Coturnix japonica: one gene and its partners. The main gene of each other region encodes a partner of the protein of the gene in region 3 in a complex. Links are inferred from orthologs where the notes say so. Each region holds a gene or a part of one and is shown on either strand. Other genes may lie near its edges.

Evidence for each region.
Region 1: KAT14 (region 3) and YEATS2 share a complex: the UniProt entries of both Homo sapiens proteins name them as parts of the ADA2A-containing complex. The link is inferred for Coturnix japonica from reciprocal best matches to the Homo sapiens genes KAT14 and YEATS2.
Region 2: KAT14 (region 3) and WDR5 share a complex: the UniProt entries of both Homo sapiens proteins name them as parts of the ADA2A-containing complex. The link is inferred for Coturnix japonica from reciprocal best matches to the Homo sapiens genes KAT14 and WDR5.
Region 4: KAT14 (region 3) and DR1 share a complex: the UniProt entries of both Homo sapiens proteins name them as parts of the ADA2A-containing complex. The link is inferred for Coturnix japonica from reciprocal best matches to the Homo sapiens genes KAT14 and DR1.
Region 5: KAT14 (region 3) and TADA2A share a complex: the UniProt entries of both Homo sapiens proteins name them as parts of the ADA2A-containing complex. The link is inferred for Coturnix japonica from reciprocal best matches to the Homo sapiens genes KAT14 and TADA2A.

Annotation. Positions count from the first base shown.
Region 1 is NC_029524.1:700,944-704,464, forward strand, and holds part of YEATS2 (YEATS domain-containing protein 2), read right to left. Parts: intron 2,855-3,521; coding exon 2,612-2,854; intron 944-2,611; coding exon 828-943; intron 1-827. UniProt on the Homo sapiens protein: Chromatin reader component of the ATAC complex, a complex with histone acetyltransferase activity on histones H3 and H4. YEATS2 specifically recognizes and binds histone H3 crotonylated at 'Lys-27' (H3K27cr).
Region 2 is NC_029532.1:5,717,774-5,722,022, reverse strand, and holds the start of WDR5 (WD repeat-containing protein 5), read right to left. Parts: upstream 2,810-4,249; 5' UTR 2,686-2,809; intron 1,018-2,685; 5' UTR 904-1,017; coding exon 823-903; intron 200-822; coding exon 91-199; intron 1-90.
Region 3 is NC_029518.1:13,423,920-13,426,427, forward strand, and holds the end of KAT14 (cysteine-rich protein 2-binding protein), read right to left. Parts: intron 2,018-2,508; coding exon 1,844-2,017; 3' UTR 501-1,843; downstream 1-500. UniProt on the Homo sapiens protein: Component of the ATAC complex, a complex with histone acetyltransferase activity on histones H3 and H4. May function as a scaffold for the ATAC complex to promote ATAC complex stability. Has also weak histone acetyltransferase activity toward histone H4.
Region 4 is NC_029523.1:12,070,773-12,074,293, forward strand, and holds part of DR1 (protein Dr1), read right to left. Parts: intron 1,417-3,521; coding exon 1,253-1,416; intron 1-1,252. UniProt on the Homo sapiens protein: The association of the DR1/DRAP1 heterodimer with TBP results in a functional repression of both activated and basal transcription of class II genes.
Region 5 is NC_029534.1:7,297,250-7,301,365, reverse strand, and holds the start of TADA2A (transcriptional adapter 2-alpha), read right to left. Parts: upstream 2,814-4,116; 5' UTR 2,721-2,813; intron 2,535-2,720; exon of another isoform or gene 2,511-2,534; intron 2,050-2,510; 5' UTR 1,851-2,049; coding exon 1,826-1,850; intron 1,122-1,825; coding exon 1,015-1,121; intron 95-1,014; coding exon 35-94; intron 1-34. UniProt on the Homo sapiens protein: Component of the ATAC complex, a complex with histone acetyltransferase activity on histones H3 and H4. Required for the function of some acidic activation domains, which activate transcription from a distant site. Binds double-stranded DNA.

The DNA of each region.
Region 1 (3,521 bases), on a different chromosome or scaffold from region 3:
AGCCATGTAAAAACATGCTTCTTAATTACGAAAGCTTAATTTTAATACTGTATCACCATCAAATCCCTTTTGTGAGGTATCAAGAAGTTAAACCATTCCAGAACACCAGCAACTCTGCTATAATAAATATTAAAATATTATTATTAGATTATTCTTATACATTTTTAAGAAGCACCTGACCCATACCTGATTCCATTGCCAGGATTAGGCAGATTTTCAAGAGACAATTCTAACAGTAAGTCTCATTAGCCAACATTTGCTAATTGCTGTGCAAATGGAGAGACTGACCAGCAGCACAAGGACAGATGTGCCTCCTAGAAAATAACACCCCTTCTAACTGTACGTTTGTCTTAAATTTGGGGGGGAAATAAACAAAAACAAAAATATTTCTTCAAACTACATTATATGTTCATATAATTTTTCTCATACTGATAATCTTGTGAGCTTGGGTTGGACTTTCTGGGGGTGGAGAGAGGTCGGTTTTGTCCTCCTTGTTGTTGTTACATATATTATCCTTATTGATACACTGAAACTGCAATTAAGACAAACAGTTTTTTCAAAATTTTCATGGGAAAACATGAGATTTTTAACTGGATAGCAAAGCTGAAAGACTCCCCTTGAAAGAAACAGACCTTAAAGACTCCATACACACGAGCTACTAGAACACCTCTCTCCCCAAACAGCTCAGGGAGGGCAAACTTGGATGCAGTCATTCCAGGGCAACACCTCACACTGCCACAGCCCAACAATTTCTTTGTCTCCTAGTTTTAACCTGTTGTTCTGCTGGATCCTGAATGAAGAGCACCACAAAGCCTCTGGATACTAACTTGGAGACGTTGCCCACCACAATCGTTTTCTTCACGTACAGCCGGGACGTCTCATCGTTGGACAACCCTGCATTTCGTTGTCCTGGTTTTTGGGAGATAGAAACACCCAAACTGTCCTGTGGGTAGAAGAAGAGAATAAGGCAAATACACATTGCTTGTAAACATTATTCTGTTTGGCACTAGAAAAGTAAAATTTTGTTGAATTTCATAGATGAGAGGCCCACAATGAGTCATCCCCAAGCTGCACTTACACTGGTATCCAGGCACATTTAAGCAATTCAGCACACAACAAGGACGCTGTGCCCAGCAACATGGATGCTGAATAGCTTAGCCTGGTGCAAGTTATGCAAAGTACCATGGATGTGAACCACAACTCCAGCCTGTGTTTCAAAGCAACACCTCCACACTGCCTGAAAAATCATGCACCGTTACCTGAAAAGTCAAATCAAGCATTGCCAAGACATCATCGTTTGTGTCTCTCATCAGAAATCAAGTCAGTCTCCCACAGGCAGCTGCTGAAAACCTGAACCTTTCCAATTCCTGCCCTCTGCTGCCTTGAGGGCCTTCAACATTGCTCCACAGTGAAGAATCAAGGCCAACATTGGGAAAAGAATCCAGCTCCACATAAATAAACATGGAACCAGCTGTAATACGTCACCAATACCCACGCAGGCCTACAGATCCACCCCAACACCTGGGCATCATAAAACTAGCATCAGCAACTTTGCAGCACAATCTCAGCTCTTCAGCAGTGCTTGGAACTGCCTGAAGTGATGCCATGACCACCCAGCTGCACAGCTGTCAGCATGAAAAGGAGAGGTTTTTCTGTGCCTGCTGGATAAAGCAGCTTCTACAGACCAAGGACTGCTGCCCTCTGCCCCATGTCCTGCCCTGAGCACCTGTCCTCCAGGCATGACATGGTAAACAGAGAATCTGAGAGGGATGACTATACCTCATTACATTGCTGATGCCCGAGACTGGAGCAAGAGCAGGACGGAAGCCTACCATGGCTTCTGCTCCTCATTACCCCTTGGTCACCTCCATGCTGTGTCCATCAAAGACACAATGCCACGCTGTGCCCATGCAATACAACTATTTCACCAAAGCCCCCGTGCAGAAACAACCTACACTAGTCTGGAAGCTCACGATGCAGGTGGGTCCACATATTCTGTTTCCAGTTTCTGCTGTGAACCCTAAGAAGGGCTTCAGCAGGCTGCTGCTCTGTTAGCAAGGTGTCATACACTGCTTGCTGGATGCAGTCAGTGCTTTTTCATGGCAACATGTTCAGTTGCAGAAATGCTAGCCCACTTGTGAGTGCTTTCTCTATGCAGCACTGTGCAGCCCCAGTACAGTCTCCAGGGATACAGCCACTCTGTTCCTCAAAGGATGGGCAGCAGCACCACTGCATGCAGCCTCACCAGATTCTTAAGAACACTGCAGGAAATAACGTCTTGCTATTTTCTGCGGGCTCTTGCCCCTCCCAATCTGACTTCCACCTGCATAAAGCCCTTGGTTTGAGCTGCACAACTCCTCGAGCCCCAGGGATGCAGCAGGCAGCAGCACCAACACCAGAGCAGTCCTGCTTCCCATTCAACCTTCCTGCTGTGTGGTTAACCCAGGTACATGAACTTCGGTGAGCTTTACTGCAGGAACAAGCTGAAGTGGGAGCAAGCAGTTGGAGAGGGTAAGAAACAAATGTTCAGCAAGGCAGGTAAGAACATGAGCAGATTATTGAGTCCAGACAGCCCTACAACAACATGACCACCATTCACACATTACGTTACCCGGCTAGCACTTCTGCTCTGCCTCTGGTCCAGGCTGTTTGCCAGCCGCTCGTCCGCATCCAGGCTGCCATTGTCCTTGTCCAGGAAGAAGTCATTGTGCTGCGAGAGAGAGTCGCTCTCGGAGTGGTTGGCTGATGGCGCATCCGAGCCCTGGTGAGCAGGGGATGATGAGCGAGAGGGAGACTCCAGAAACTTCTTGATGGAAGGGTGATTAAGAATGGTGGTATCACATGACCTGGTCCCCTGTAACACAGGCCAGGCACATCCAGTCATTATTTCCCTGCAGCCCATATCAAAGTCTAAGCTAAAAAGGAAAAAGTCAGCATACACATAAAAAAGCAAATACCTCATCACCTGCTTCATGGGAAAAAACACGTGTAACTGAAAAGCTTACAGCAGCTCTTCAGAAACAGGACCCCAGACTGAATCTATTCCTGCACGCCTTCTGGTCTCAGAAATGCACCTGGTAGCAGCAAGGAGGGCTGCAGCCACCTGAACACCTGCAGTGTACCCTAGACATAACAGCTCCCTTTCTCCATGGCACCAACAGCTCTGCTCCACACACAGCTGCACAACTCCCTGTGTGCTCCTACTAGCCAACCCTACTCCCCCATCACCTCCACTTGATGCAGAACCAATGAAGCAAGCAGGGGTAGCTCTCTGTCAGCAGGCAGACTCAAGTCCATGGAGCCAAAGTCCCTCACAATGGATGGAAGGGTAGCCCTCCCTGCAGCCCTGGCGAGGAGAAGTTCTCTTCCTCTCTTCCTGCACAACAGAGCTCAAAGCCAGGGGCTGGTCACAAACAGAAGGAAAAAAAAATAAAATAAAATAATAATAATAAAAGACTTGTCTTCATCTCTTTTTTCCCCCCTTGTTGGATTACTTTTAATTCCTAACAGTCCCTGATCCA
Region 2 (4,249 bases), on a different chromosome or scaffold from region 3:
CACTTATCCCTTCTCCATCCAGTCAGTTAAGACAAGTAGTTCTACAAGGCCCGTATTTGCATTCTGTTGATGTAAGAAAGCAATACTTACAGGAGCTGGCTAACCACTCTCCATTAGGACTAAACTTTACAGATGATACCGCCTTCGTATGTCCCGCTAACGTGAACTTTAGAGCATAATTTGGTTTCACTGGTGCAGGCTGGAAGAAAAATACATATGAATGAGTTGAATAAATTCCCAATTTAGTTTCTCAGTGACAAGCTCAGTATCAGACGAGATCAGCACACATGAATACATACATTCACCTGAACAGATTCTACCATTTACATTCTCTCCCCCCACCAAATTCAACAAGCCCCCACTGGAGCCAGAAGCACATTACAGCCACGTGCCACCAAACTCATCCTGATCTGAATTCCCTTCAAGCCTGCAACTAACAGATGACAGTAACACAACAGTTCGAGCACAGAGTGTTTTGAGATTAAAATAAAACCTCTGGTGATGGTTTTATACTCTGTGTATAGTACTATGAAATGCCTGTAGTTCTATTCCTTGCTCAGAAGCAACCACAAGCCAACTCCCCCAGGCCCCTTAAAACTCTATTTCAACCAAATAATCAACCTAGCACTAAGCTGTACTCAGCCTGCTTTTCCCCTACAACCTTCAGCACACTTCCCTCTCCATACAACAGCAGAGGCAGACGTATTAAGAAGTTCTTAATGCATACTTGATTCAGTTCTCTAATTGCTGTTTGCCTGGTGCACGTGCAGGTATGCACCATGTGCATTTACGCAGGCATTGTTCAGAGCTCCCCACACACACCTTGCTCTGATTGGTTGAGGAGGAAGGAGTCGATTGTGTTTTGGTGGATTCTGCATCTGGTTTCTTTTCTTCTGTTGCCATGGTTCTGAAGCCGGCAAATGAGACCTACGGTGCTTGAAGGGGGAGAATGAACGTGCTGCTTCACAAGGCAGCCCTTGCCACGGGGAGAGGAACAGCGCTGCTAGAAACAAAACCCTGGAAGAAAAAGCAAACAATCACATTAACCATCAAAGAAGGATCAGAGGCAGCTAAAGGAACAAGATCAGCTTAACTGCAGGTCTGCAGAAAACATGATGAGGAAACATATTGTACGCCTGCTCAGCAACATGCCATTTTATGCCTACAGGTCTATTAGTGGTCTATCAAGAACCCAAATACAAGACTTTGATCAGCTCCTGCACAGCGTTTTTTGCTGTGTTTTGTACCAATCACTACAAATAAAGCAGAGTAGCTCTTAGAGGCAGTGGGTTTATCTTATATTCCTTGAAACATCTGTACAACACAGCAAATACAACACCTTATATATAAGGCATTTCCAAAGCTTAAAACCACACCAGGTTTGTTTTATTTTTCCATTTCCTATTTCAAGTACTTTGGTCTAATACCTTCCCCCTAAATGCTGTGAGCACCATATCCCTGCTTGAGAGATCCCCCTGCCTAACAGCAGCCCTGCATTAACCTCACCAGATCTGCTTTCTGTAGCAAAACCTGAGCAGTGCTGTGCTGTACCCTGCAATCAGGGCTGATGCTGCAGAGGGAACAATCACGCTGCAGTTCAGCTTCATTTCAGCAGTGTAACAGAATAACCCGCAGCTCACATTGTAAGGATTTACAAATCCTTTGCTATTTGCAATATCCCATCCCAAGCACAATCCATTTTGCTTGTGGCAGCAAATCCAAGAGGAACAGCATTGACTTTTCAAGCCACGATGCACATCTTGTCCTCAGGAGGGCACAGAGCTCAGTGCCACCAGTTGCAAGCTTTACAAGCACAGTACAGACTCCTTACTTACTGTTAATACCAGCAACTCCAGCTCTATAATCCAGATCTAATGCATTTCAACCTGAACTTATATGGGAACTTGAGCAAGCAACACAGCTTACCCCTTGCACCTCCTCATACAAACCTGAGCAGCAGCACATGGCAAGCTTCAAAGGGCCCTGGCTGCAAACACCCCTTTCTCACCACACCCAGGGGGGAAGCTCGTGTAAACTCAGCTTGTAAGCAAGAAACTTCCCGAAGGCTTTAGAAGCAGCAGCAGCCTGCAGGAATACACAGCCTGCAAGGATACACAGCCTGCAAGGATACACAGCCACGTGTGTGCACGTACATAGGGCGTGCACACATCCACAGGGCTGCACGCTCTACAGCGAGGCGTGGAGCAGCACAGAGCAATGGAGCTGCAGAGCAAAGCAATGGAGCTGCAGGGCAAAGCAATGGAGCTGCAGGGCAAAGCAATGGAGCTGCAGGGCAAAGCAATGGAGCTGCAGGGCAAAGCAATGGAGCTGCAGGGCAAAGCAACGGAGCTGCAGGGCAAAGCAAGGGAGCTGCAGGGCAAAGCAATGGAGCTGCAGGGCAAAGCAACGGAGCTGCAGGGCAANCTGCAGGGCAAAGCAACGGAGCTGCAGGGCAAAGCAAGGGAGCTGCAGGGCAAAGCAATGGAGCTGCAGGGCAAAGCAACGGAGCTGCAGAGCAATGCAATGCACACACAGAGCAATGCAATGCACATACAGAGCAATGCAAGGCCGCACGCGGCCCCCTCTCGCCTCAGAGTGAGGGCGGTGGGGGAGGGAGGAGAGGCGGCTCCCCACACGAAGCCGGAGCTGAAGGAACCCATCCAGCCGGGCTCCATAGTGACTTACCGAGGGAAGGGGAAGGGCTGGGTGCACACCCGGCACCGCCGCCTCCTCCTCCTGCCTCGGGAGGGGCGGAGGGGGGACACGGCGGCGGCGGCAGCACCGGAGCCGCCAGGCGGGGAATGTGGCACTGCGCATGCGCGATGTAGGCCAAAGGCTGCACAATGCCGCTCTCTCCCATGAGCGCTACGGTGCGGCCAGAGGGACAAAAAGCATCAGTGGGGGCCGTGCGCCTTAAAGGGCCACGCGCTTCTTTTTTCAGCCTGCTTCCCGCCTTTGGAAATGGCTCTGTGCTGAAGGCCTCCATCCCTCAGGTGTGTGCTCGCTGCCCTGAGGAATGAAGGAACGAAAGCACTGAAAATTCATGCTTAACCCACAATATTGTGAGGAGACTGAGCTAATCCGTAAGGTAAACAGCACAGCAGGCCACGTAATGCTGTTATACCGAGGGTAGGTGTGCGGCCTAGCCCTGCCTAGGGATATATTTAGCTTCCATTTAGCTTGCATGCAGATTCTCCTCAAATTTCAGTGTTTTTCTGGAAAACAGTGGGTTTTTTTCCGAACTGCTTTCAGTGAGAGGGAAGAAAACCAAGAGACACGTGTTATGTGCTGGCCCTGTAACACAGGAAGATCTGCGGGCTCCAGAAATGCTGGTGGCTGCTGAGAAAGGAAAAAAGTGATGGTGTAATGAAGCCAAGGCCCTTCTCCAGCTTGGAAACCCATAGCTGAAGTCTGCAGCTTTAACCCTGCCCTTTACCATGGGGGGAAAATACAGGCATGGAACTGTGAGAGATGCTCCATCCATCCTATGCTGTTAGGGAATAAATCCAGTTCTTGCCTTGGTGTATAGTCTTCATTCTGGAAAGAAAAGAAGACTAAATACCACAAATCAGCAGGGTAATGCTATACATTCATGCAGCTTTCTTGTGATAAGGGTAGGTGTTGCTTTCACATAGGAGACAAGAGCCTGTATTTCTGTACTGTGCCTCCTCTCGTTGTGGAAGCTTTTTTTGCCTGATATTTCATATATATTAATCTATATCTATACTGAATGATACCTTTCTGGAACTGGAAACTATAGTTTCCAATACAAATGGTAATTGTAATCCTAAGCAACCCCTTAGCCTCTGAGTGTCCTGGATTTATCTTTAACAAATGTCATAAATAGAGAATCTGCACGGACAGCCTGTTGTCTTTGGATGAAATTGAACTTGTGGGTTATGAGTCATCTGTGAGGGTCCTTCTTGCTCCGCAGGCCATGCTGCCACAGCTGGGATCAGCAGGATGTGATCTCTGTCCAAATTCCCTCTCTGTGAAAGACTGGGCCTTGGCAGGCTTCTCTCTCACAAAGTCTTTCATTCCTTTTGGTTCCAAATAGCCTGAACTTGGTGATCTGCCAAGTACATTGGAAAAGACACCTGTCTGTGAGGCTTCTGGGGGGCGAGAAAAGCTTCCCGTAATGCTGAAAAGGAAAGAAAAGTCCATAAGTGTCTCAGATGATTGGGAAGTGACTGCTTTCAGTGCTGGTGTGAGCCCTCTGGATGTCTTTAAGAATGCCAGGAACAGACCC
Region 3 (2,508 bases):
AACTTCCCCCTAACATCCAACCTAAATCTTCCCTCTTTTAACTTAAAACCATTTCCCCTAGGCCTGCTATTGTCAGCCCTTTCGAAGAGTTTACTCCCCTCCTGGGAGTAAGTCCCCAGGAGAGCCCTGCCAGTGCTCCTGTGGGATTTCACCTCAGAAAGTCAGCTCAGCACATAGGTAACTACAGGTAGGCTCTGTCAAGGGAAGGGCTTTAATTCCATTCATAGAGACGTGTTTTTCCTTTCCAAGTACAGCTAATTCCTAACACCGGTAACGTGGAAAAGTCTCACAGTCATAAAGCAGGTTGAAATGTCATGGATGTTAGGTCACAGTTCTTGGACGGGTTCTTATTTCCTCCCACTAACACTGGTTTTGATTGGATGAAGATGTACGTCAGCTACACAAAAGCGTAATACACGTCCACCTTCCTGCTGTTACCAATGTGAAGCGGTCATTAAGGCAATACTACAGCCAAGTACCTAAGAGGCACACACAGCAGATTTAAAACAAATACATTATATTTGTTGTGTAGCTCTCTGACCTTGATGCGAAAGGAACAAGGCAGTGGATATGATTCATCCTTTAAACACACTGAGCAGCCTAAAGTCAGAAAGCAAAGTGGCAACTTCCTGTTCTTCTGCAGAAAACAAAGAAATAAATAACAAAAATTAAGAGAGAGAAGCTGCTAAACTGTATAGAAGGGCTGCACCCTGCTATAGGAGTAACTGCTGCATTGTTTGCGTCTTTTTTCTTAAGTTCTTGGCTATTATTTTTTATTCTTTGCTCTCCTCTTTACTTCGAGCCCTGAAAACAGAATCTAAATGCTTCAGTGAACTGGAACCAGCTCACCTCTGCTCTCCAAGCTGCAAGCAGGTTGCTTCTACAAACCAGAGCCTGCATTTCAAACTTAACCACTGACTTTTGCTCCTGGTTTCTTCTGGTCAGAGTGTCCACAGCAGGTGGAGACAGATGCTGTCTGGAGCTTGTGAAGCTTGCTATGTGGTTAGAGGTGAGCCCAAAGGGCTGATCTGCAGTATCAACAACTGGCAGATAGGCAGTAAGATCTCAAAGAGCTCATTTGGCAGCTGTTGTATCCTACCTCACCTAGCTACAAACCCACCTGACATCTTGTTCCTGAACTCAAAACACTGCGTGCTACAAGAACTTCACAATGAGCACAGAGTCAACAAGGGTGAAGGCCACAGGGAAGGAGCAGAACAAAGACATCCCTGGGCCTTTTAACTTGGGATCACACGAGTTCACAAACACTTCATTATTCCTAAAACACAGCTTCAGTATTGCTATTCTGTCCTGTGCAGAGCCTGAAGTCAGAACCTGACATTGCATTCCCCTCCGTGGATTCAAGACGTGGTTCCTAACAAAGCAATCAAATCGCAGAAACACTGTGGATGATTTAAGTTTAGATGTTCATTTTCCATAAACAAAACATTAACAAAACCCCTGTAACGTGAGATAGGTTTCAAAATTTGAAATCCATGGAACTCCTCTGAAATGACAAATTTTGGGTGGCTTTTTTTGTGTGGTTGGTTTTTTCCTCCAGTGGCAATCTCCAAAGTATCAGGAAAACTCCATAAGAATCTCAGTCTTCCAGTGGCTTCAGCATGTTTCTGTTGGCATTTCTGGGCCTCTCCCTTGGAGAGTATGAATCAATCCTCTTGGATTGCACTTGCAGCACAAAACATAGCGCTGTTGATATTAGAAGACCTACCGAAAAAGGCAAATGTGCGTTCCAGCTCTCATGTGACAGCCAGCATCCTCTGCTGAAAGTCACGGTAATACCTTGCTCAACAGGCTGGGCTTTTCACAGATCCCCTCTGACAGATCAGCGCCGTAGTCTGAGAAAGAATGCATGCTTGCACTCCTTGCTGTCCAGGGGATAATATTTGTCATAAAAATCCAAAATGTATTCTTCAGTCTTAAACCCGAATTTTTGGTAAAGCAGCATCGCGGGGTTGCTTGCAGAGACGTGAAGGGTTACATCTTTGCCCATGCAGGTCTGCCAAGGGAGGAGAAAAGAAACAAATAAGTATCACAGGAAGAGAATGAGAAAAGCCTCTGGGGGAATGTGGAGGTGAAGAGATTCATCAGCTTTGGTATTTGAGTCACAGGGAAAACGTGAGAAAAATCACAGGCCTCAACACAGACGTTACCACACATAACATGAAGGCAATACTGCTCTTCCTCAAAGCCTTTTATTCTGGGAAACACGGACTCTCTGACAAAGAAATCAAAGCTTTGGATTCTAATTTGTAAGCTTTCCATTGTCAATTTCGAAGTAATTGTTGATTAAAAATAATCTCGGTGTACTGCACTAATCTCAAATACTTGACGACAACAGCCTGAAGACAAGACAAAACATCACAAAGGATCAAACGCTGTGCTCCTCCCCATCAGCAAACAGGGCTGAACTCTCTGGGACCACGTCCTAACACCAGTGCACCTCTGGGCTGTCACACTGGAATTCCTCTACATTCCACCCAGCTCATC
Region 4 (3,521 bases), on a different chromosome or scaffold from region 3:
TCTGCCTACATAAGGTAGCAATGGTTTTTAGCATTCTTGTTTTATGTTACTTAGGAGGTGGTACCCCCTCAACTATCTTTGTTGTTCTGAATATCCATCATCATTTTGTAGACCAAAGTTTTTGAACAATGGTTTGAAAAAAAAACATGATTTAAGCTGACTACTACATACAAATCAAACCTTAAACAGAAGCAGCCATATTGCTCCTTCTAGTGGTAATACAGTCAGAAAAAAAGTCCTAACTAGTTCAATGCATGCTGACAAGAGCCTCATGCATGCAGAAGCTTTAGTTGGCAAAAAGAATTCATCATGCAAATAAGATTAACATAGCTGGCACCTTATGATACAAACCCAACAATTATGAAGTGTTCCAGCAAGATACAAGTATAGTGAAGTGATGGGAAAGGAGGTCATAGTAATCAGACATAGTAATGACTGAATAAGCATTTTCAGAGGAAACAGAATTATGTAAATTAAGAAAACAAGACTCATGGATTGGGCAAGAGGAAACAAAGATTATTTTCATATCATTTTGTTTAGAGAAAGACTTTCTTGTCAGACTGAGAATAAGACAGAGAAAGATGGTGTAGAAGGATAAATAAAATTAGCTTTTAGTTGTTTAAACCTGGGAACATTTACTATTAGGCAAAGCTGGGATGAAGGAGTATTTGTAGGCAAATTCCTTCCCTGTGCTTCAACTGCCTCCTTAAAAGTTTATGCATGAATTAACTCCAATAGAATCTCGCCACAAGTAAATAAAGATGAGAAAGGACAAATTGGAATTTTTTAACAATTAATTGCTACTTTCAAAGCCTCAATGAATTGTGCAGTGATGGTCACAAACAGAAGAGAGATTCATGTTTTAAATGCAACTTAAGGAAAAAAAAAGGCAATTCCATTTTTTATTCCTCAGCTAAGTAGTTCTTAATGCATCACTACAATACAATGGAAGTACCTGTCTCAATAGTAGGGAAGGAAAAAAAAACAACAAAACTCAAAAACTTCCTAAATCTAGAGTATAAAATTTGTTTGTATGTGTCAACTTGCAGGAGTAACCACAAACAGTATCTTACTTATTGACTCGACTTTCTGTAACACAAGCAGGACAAGAAGATCAATTGCACCTTAGACGCTACAACAGTCATCAAGGAAAGGAATACTTCTAGGTGTGTGTACATGTTTTTGCAGCATCAGATTCACCACATTAATTATTACAACCTCATCTGTCTAAGTGTTGTGTTGCCTCACTTACTTTTGCAAACAATTCCTGTTGCTGCCTTAGAAGCTCTTCTTCCGGAATGCCGAGGTTTTCCAGGCGTGAACTGGCCTTTCTTCTCTTTAGTGCTACGGTTTTGCATTCTTGTAAGACTTCTTTTACTTCACTGATATAGGACCCAAAGCCCAAACTTTCTAGTGCTAGAAAAAATAAAACATTGGTCTTTTAGAAGGCTTTTGAAATCAGATACCAACATGTTTAAACATACATTTATAAAAAATAGAAGACGATTGATCATTTTTCTGTCGTTTGGCAATGAAAAGTTGTGCTTGTGGGAACATGTGACAGCTACTCTCCCTGCCTCTTCTCCTATGCCCTCTAAAGAGGGCAAGCTTTCACACTAGAAATGCAAGGTTTACTGAAGTGCAAAAAGTCCTGGCTTGCAAAGCACTCAGGACTCTCAGATCCATTTTGCTTTATTCTTGGAAAGCCTCCATCTTCATGTTCTGCACATCAGATTCATACATCAACTACAGAACCAAGATGCCCTTCCTATGTGAACTGTGATCCATTAATCTCTCCATGATTCTATCTTTCCATTTTTGTTGCAAGTCTTCAAATAAAATCATTTACCTATAACAAAGAAAACTTTAAAGATAGAAACAACAAACATAACCATAGAAATTCACTTTAGTTTTGGATCTGAATATCTGATCTCATTTTCTAGATGCCAACAACACATATTACATATACAGTTACATACAACTCCTTATTGTTTTGGAATGGAAATCCTCGTACTTATGTCTACATTAAAATGCATTCAGAAGCTGTAACACAGCATTTTAACCTGCCCAAGGAAACCTGAAGCACAGCTGTATTCTGCAACAGCTTTTAAAGAATGCAAAAATAACAGAAAGGTTAAAAACAAAACAGGCAAAACATATGAGAAAAGGCACATTTTGATATGCCACTTGCTACCATATGCCTCCACACACACACACCCTAAAACAGAACCTAATACAGAACAGGCTGGAAGTATCACACAGACACCAACTACTTAGAAACAAGCCCCAGCTTCATTCAACACCTGGTTCACTTCCAGTAGTTACGCAAGTCCGAGTTTTCCTTATAGAATGATACTTAATATTTATCTTACTTTATTTCAACCTTATGTAATAAACTTTCCAAGAAGTCACACTAAAACAAACTACATAACAGTAAATATGAACAACATTATAAACAAACTGACTCACAGTACATCAGACTACTTTTCCACATGTTTCTACATGATCCTTTCCTACCCACAACTGAGGGGCAGGCCACCACAGTAACACAAAGCCACTCTGTAAACCTGGGGCTTCCAACACATACAAGGAGACAATTAACGCACTACCTTCAATCTAGCAGCACACTACAGCAGGACTGCCATTCTTTTAAGGTTTGGCAAACATATTGGAAGTGGCTTTACATAATACCTATTTCTTAAGAAAAATGAAGTTAAGAGACGAACCAATTTAGAGATAATTAAATTACTCCAGACAGCATGCCAGTTCAGCCTCAGCCCACGCAGACACTGGAACCGTTTCAAATTAGTCCAGAGTTTCTATGAGAATCAACAAAAGCTTTCTCGAACCTGTTTAACACAGTCTCAGTAAAGAGGAGTCAAACATGTCCCTGGTGCAGAACCGGTTCTATAAGCAGCCTATTAATATTAAGGAGCTCATTTTATTTTAAAATGTAAACAGTAAATTCAATCAACTATTTCAAACTCAGAGCTTTTCCTTTTCAGCATTAAGGTGTTTAGAAGTCTACATGTCGAACATGACTAAGATGAACTATCACAGTGAATACAGATGTTCATAGAAGAATACTGACAGAGATCAGGCTTAGCAATCTGCTGCACTGGAGGATGAGCAGCTGCCCAAATCAACAGCAAGTTGTATGTGCCACTTAAAAGAATGGGAATTCATGGGAAGTACTTATAGCTACATACTTTTCTTTCGGACTGTAACTATGACAGATTCATACAATAGCTCAATACAAATACAGCAATAACACTAGGCCTGCTGCAAACAAGTGAAGCTGTAGTGAAACAACTTCAGAATTTCACACTCTTGAAACAAACTGTGGCTTTATGGAGCACATGCATGGAAGGAATAAGCGTCTATCCCCTTCTAACAGCATGGTACTCAAATGCTGAATTAGTGAGTACCTGAGCAGAGCCACCTGTCCACCAAAATCTAGAATCTTTCTACTTCTAGAGTGTTAAGCCCACACATCTATCCAGACTGCTGAAAATCTGATA
Region 5 (4,116 bases), on a different chromosome or scaffold from region 3:
GACTGAGTAGGTGTAACCCAAAAGGAATATTTACCATTATCTCGTAAGTGTGATCACTTTGGTGTTTCTTGTACTCAAATCCTCGTGTGAAACACTGCAGAACGAAAGATGAGCATTATGTTACTCTCTTCTGCCCTGAAAACATTGTGACTGGCATTTTTCCCCCCTTACATTCTCTGACTACTGCTTATCCAAAAGTGACCGCCTGATATGCTGAAAACAGCATCTGCTTTTTCTGATGTGAAATCAGAAAAAAACGTGTAATGGCAGAACAATTTGTGTTATAACTTTGAGGCTGTGTGGTATTCTGGTCTTGTACACCAAGACCCAACTCGTGTGCAGCTCCATGCTTTTTGTTAGGTATTTATAGCCAAGATAGGCAGGATAAGAAACTTGGTGCTATGTTATGTGTCATTCCTGGAAGGGAGCACAGAGCATTCTGCAGTATTGAAAGTGCAGTTTCCTTTTGGAGTTTTGATAAAGCTCCCTTTTTGGTATTAGAAGTTGTTGCCATTTTTTAGTCATAAATAATTAAAACAATCCTTTCTGTGGTGATCTGATCACACGTACAATTTGTAAATAACTATTATCTGGTCAGAATTATTGTCTATATTGCAAACTTCCTGCTGATTTTCTTTTCCATTTGGGAGGTTAAAAAAAGAAAAGAAAGCTGAAAAGGGACAGGGAGAGGGTGTTTTTTGATGGATTTTCTTTTCTGTGCCATCAAAGTGACAGAAACAATACTTCTGCAGACGTGCAGTGGCATGCTGTGTTACAGTCAGGCCTTTGGCAAGCTCTGGCTGCCTTCACAAAGACCTTGCTCAGCTGCTCATGTCTCAGTTCTTCAGCCTCTCATATTTTCTTTGTCATTTTCCTCTCCCTGAGCAAATAACTGTGTTGATATGAGTTTATGGAGACCTGTTATTAATGTGTTTATGGAGCGGCATGGCACTGGACAGCCTTTGATGAGTTTCTCAGAGAAATGAATGTCTTTGCTTTCATCCTTGCACTCACCTGCAAGCACAGGAGGAAGGGAGGAGGCCCACACTCCGCACACTTCACGTAGGGCTCGATGAGGTACGAAGAGCAACCTCTGCATGGAGGTTTATCGAAGGGGTCATCTGCAAAGCCAGATGTAAATCTCATGCAACACAAATGTGGCACTGCTTTTGCAATCACCCAAATTCACTCGTGTCCAGCAATTCAAAACAAACTCAGCTGTATGCAACCTCTTCCCTACTGATAAAAGTTCATTCCTGAGCTGGAGTTCTAAGACAGATATTGGCATTTAAACTTTGCTATGGACCTGGTCAATTGAGGGCAACTTGTTCGATCACACTGGAATCAAGGAACAGCTCTGCAGCAGCTGTCTGGTGCTGCTCAGCAGTGATGGCAGCTGTGTGAGCTGTCTGACTTGACTCAGTGCCCAGGGACCCAAGGCTTTATGGAGAATATTGCACAGACAGCAGCACTCTCCCATCCATCCTCCCTGTCTGACTCAAAAAGCATATTGCTGTGGTTGCAAAGGCATTGGCTCGATTGTTCTGTAACCTGCCCAAACCTCAGGCTGCTGAACAAGGAGTGCGACACTGCTCTGCAAGTTCTTATGTTGTTCACTGCAAAATAGTCTAAATACTGTCTTAAGCCATATTTGTTTTTAAATGCAATTTAAGTAGTGAAAAGCAGACAAACAAGATCTGAATGGCCTCCAAATCATTCCCGTCCTCATGCAGCCGAGGATTTGATGGATCAGATGCTTCTGTTGCTGTCTCCCTCCCCAGTTCAGACCATGGTGAACACCTCCCTGCAGCACTGTGGTACTCACTGCCGAAGGAGGCCAGGCGCTCCATCCTCTCCCTGGAACACGGGCTGCCCCAAATGCAGATCACTGTGTCCAAAGTGGTGTTGTGGGCTGGAGAGGTGGCTGAAATCCTCACAGCATCTTTGAGTGGAGAACAGTGAGCAGCCTGTCACAGGGACTGAGGTGGGGTCAGGCCCTGCTGCCCCTGCTGGGTGAGAGGTGATGGCTTCTCGTTGTGCTGGAAAGGTCTGGTTGGGTATGAGGAATAATTTCTTTATTAGAGCAATNTCAGCTGCCGGCACTATGGGGGGGGGGGGGGGGGGGGCACCATCCCTTCAGGTGTTCCAGATGTGGGGATGTGGGGCTGAGGGACGCGGTCAGTGTGGGTGGGTGGGGGATCTTGGAGGTCTTTTGGGACTGAATGATTCTGTGATTCTGAAGGGGTGAAGTGGTGGCCCTGCCAGGCAGGGGGGCTGGAACTTCATGATCCTTGAGGTCCCTTCCAACCCAGGTCATTCTGTGATTCTATGGGGACACACCCCAAGGCCCCAGCAGACAGTGACACAAGTGATGGCGGTACCGGGAACCCGGGGGCGGACTGTCTGTGTCAGGCACATTTGGGCACTTTGCTATTAATTCTGACGGGCGCTGCTCCCTGCGCTCCCACACGGCGCCCCCGCCCCGCTCTGCAGCACCGTCCTCCCCTCACCGGAAGGCGGCGCCCTTCCCGCCCCGTGTCCCCGCCCCCTCTCCAGGCCGTGAGGTGAGCGGCGGGATCGCGCTGCCGCCCGTCCTCCCGCTCCCTTTTCCTCTCCGCCGCAGTTTCCATCTCCCCCGCCCCGGATCCGGCTCCTCCCCGCCGTGCTTCGCTCCCGACTTCCCTCTGGCCGCTGTCGGGCCGCGCCCCGCCGCCTCTCACCTCACGCCGGGGCAGTTCCCGCGCGTCACGGCCTTCGCGAGGCCGCGTCACCGCCGTGCGCGTGCGCTGAGGCGTTGTACGTGCGCGGCCCCGGCCCGCTCCGCCCTCAGAGCCCGGGGCGATGCTGCGGGACGGTGTCAGTGCCGGGCAGCGGCGTTGTGCTGGGCCTGCAGCGCACACACAGCGATTGAGGACGTGTTATGAATTTAATTGTGCGTCCTTTAGAGCTGCTCTTCTGGCCGAGGCTCTGACTGCTGCCCTCTGTGTGCTGGTCCCCCCCTGAGGGCTGTCACCTCGTCCCCATTAGTGATAGGACCAGAGGGAATGGCTTCAAGCTGCGACAGGGGAGATTCAGGCTGGACACTACGAGGTATTACTGCTCAGAAAGGGTGGTCAGGCACTGGAATGGATGCACAGGGAGGTGGTGGAGTCATTGACCCTGGGGGTGTTAAAGGATGTTGTGTTGAGGGACATGGTTTAGTGGGAGCTGTTGGTAACAAGTGAACGGTTGGACTGGATGATCTTTTAGGTCTTTTCCAACCTTGGTGATCCTATGATTCTATGATTCTGCTGCTGGCCTGCTGCTGATGTCCCATTTTGTGTGCAGCTCGGCAGCTGTGATGGTGGTTCAGATGACATGCAGTGCTAGAGGGACGTGTTCTGAGGCTCACAGGTTGTTCCCATTCAGTCCTACAGATTCTGAAGTGTTTAATCCCTTGCATGGGAGCTGAAGGTGAGAGCTGTTCTCTAACAGACAGATGCAGCCTTTGGCAGTTCATATCTGGAAGGTGAAGATGGCATTGAGATATTAAACAGGGAATAAAGTAGAGATTCAGTCTGTGTGAGCACATGGAAACCACCTCAGACCTAAAGCTCACAGTGAATATCCATATTATTCCTTTGAGGCTGGGGGAGGTGGAAGTCTGCTGTTGTAGGATGAGTTCAATACATGTATGCTCTGAGCTGTTTAAGGAGACCAGAAATATTGGAAGCGATTTATTTTTCCTTCTTCCCAGGCCCTAAATGAGCGTGTAAAAAATAAATAGTTGAGGGAGGCAGACTTTGGAATGTCAATGAAATATTTATTGCTTATGCCAACAGGTCTGTCAAGTATCTGGGAATTAAAGCATGAATCCAGGTAGTTAATGGAAGGAATCAGCATGTGGGTGTCTTCACAGCACCTCGTTTCACAGTGAATTGATGCCATTGCTCCTAACCAGGTAAATGTTGCTTCTGATGTTAAGTCTGGTTTCAGTCTGCAGCAGTTGAAGCTGTGGTTGTTTAAGCTGCTGATGTTCAATCTGCTGTTCCCAGTAAGTGGTGAGGAAGAAGATGATGCATTTTTTAGGTAAAAACAGTGTTTCTCTAAAGCCTGCAGCATTTCATAAATAGGTTT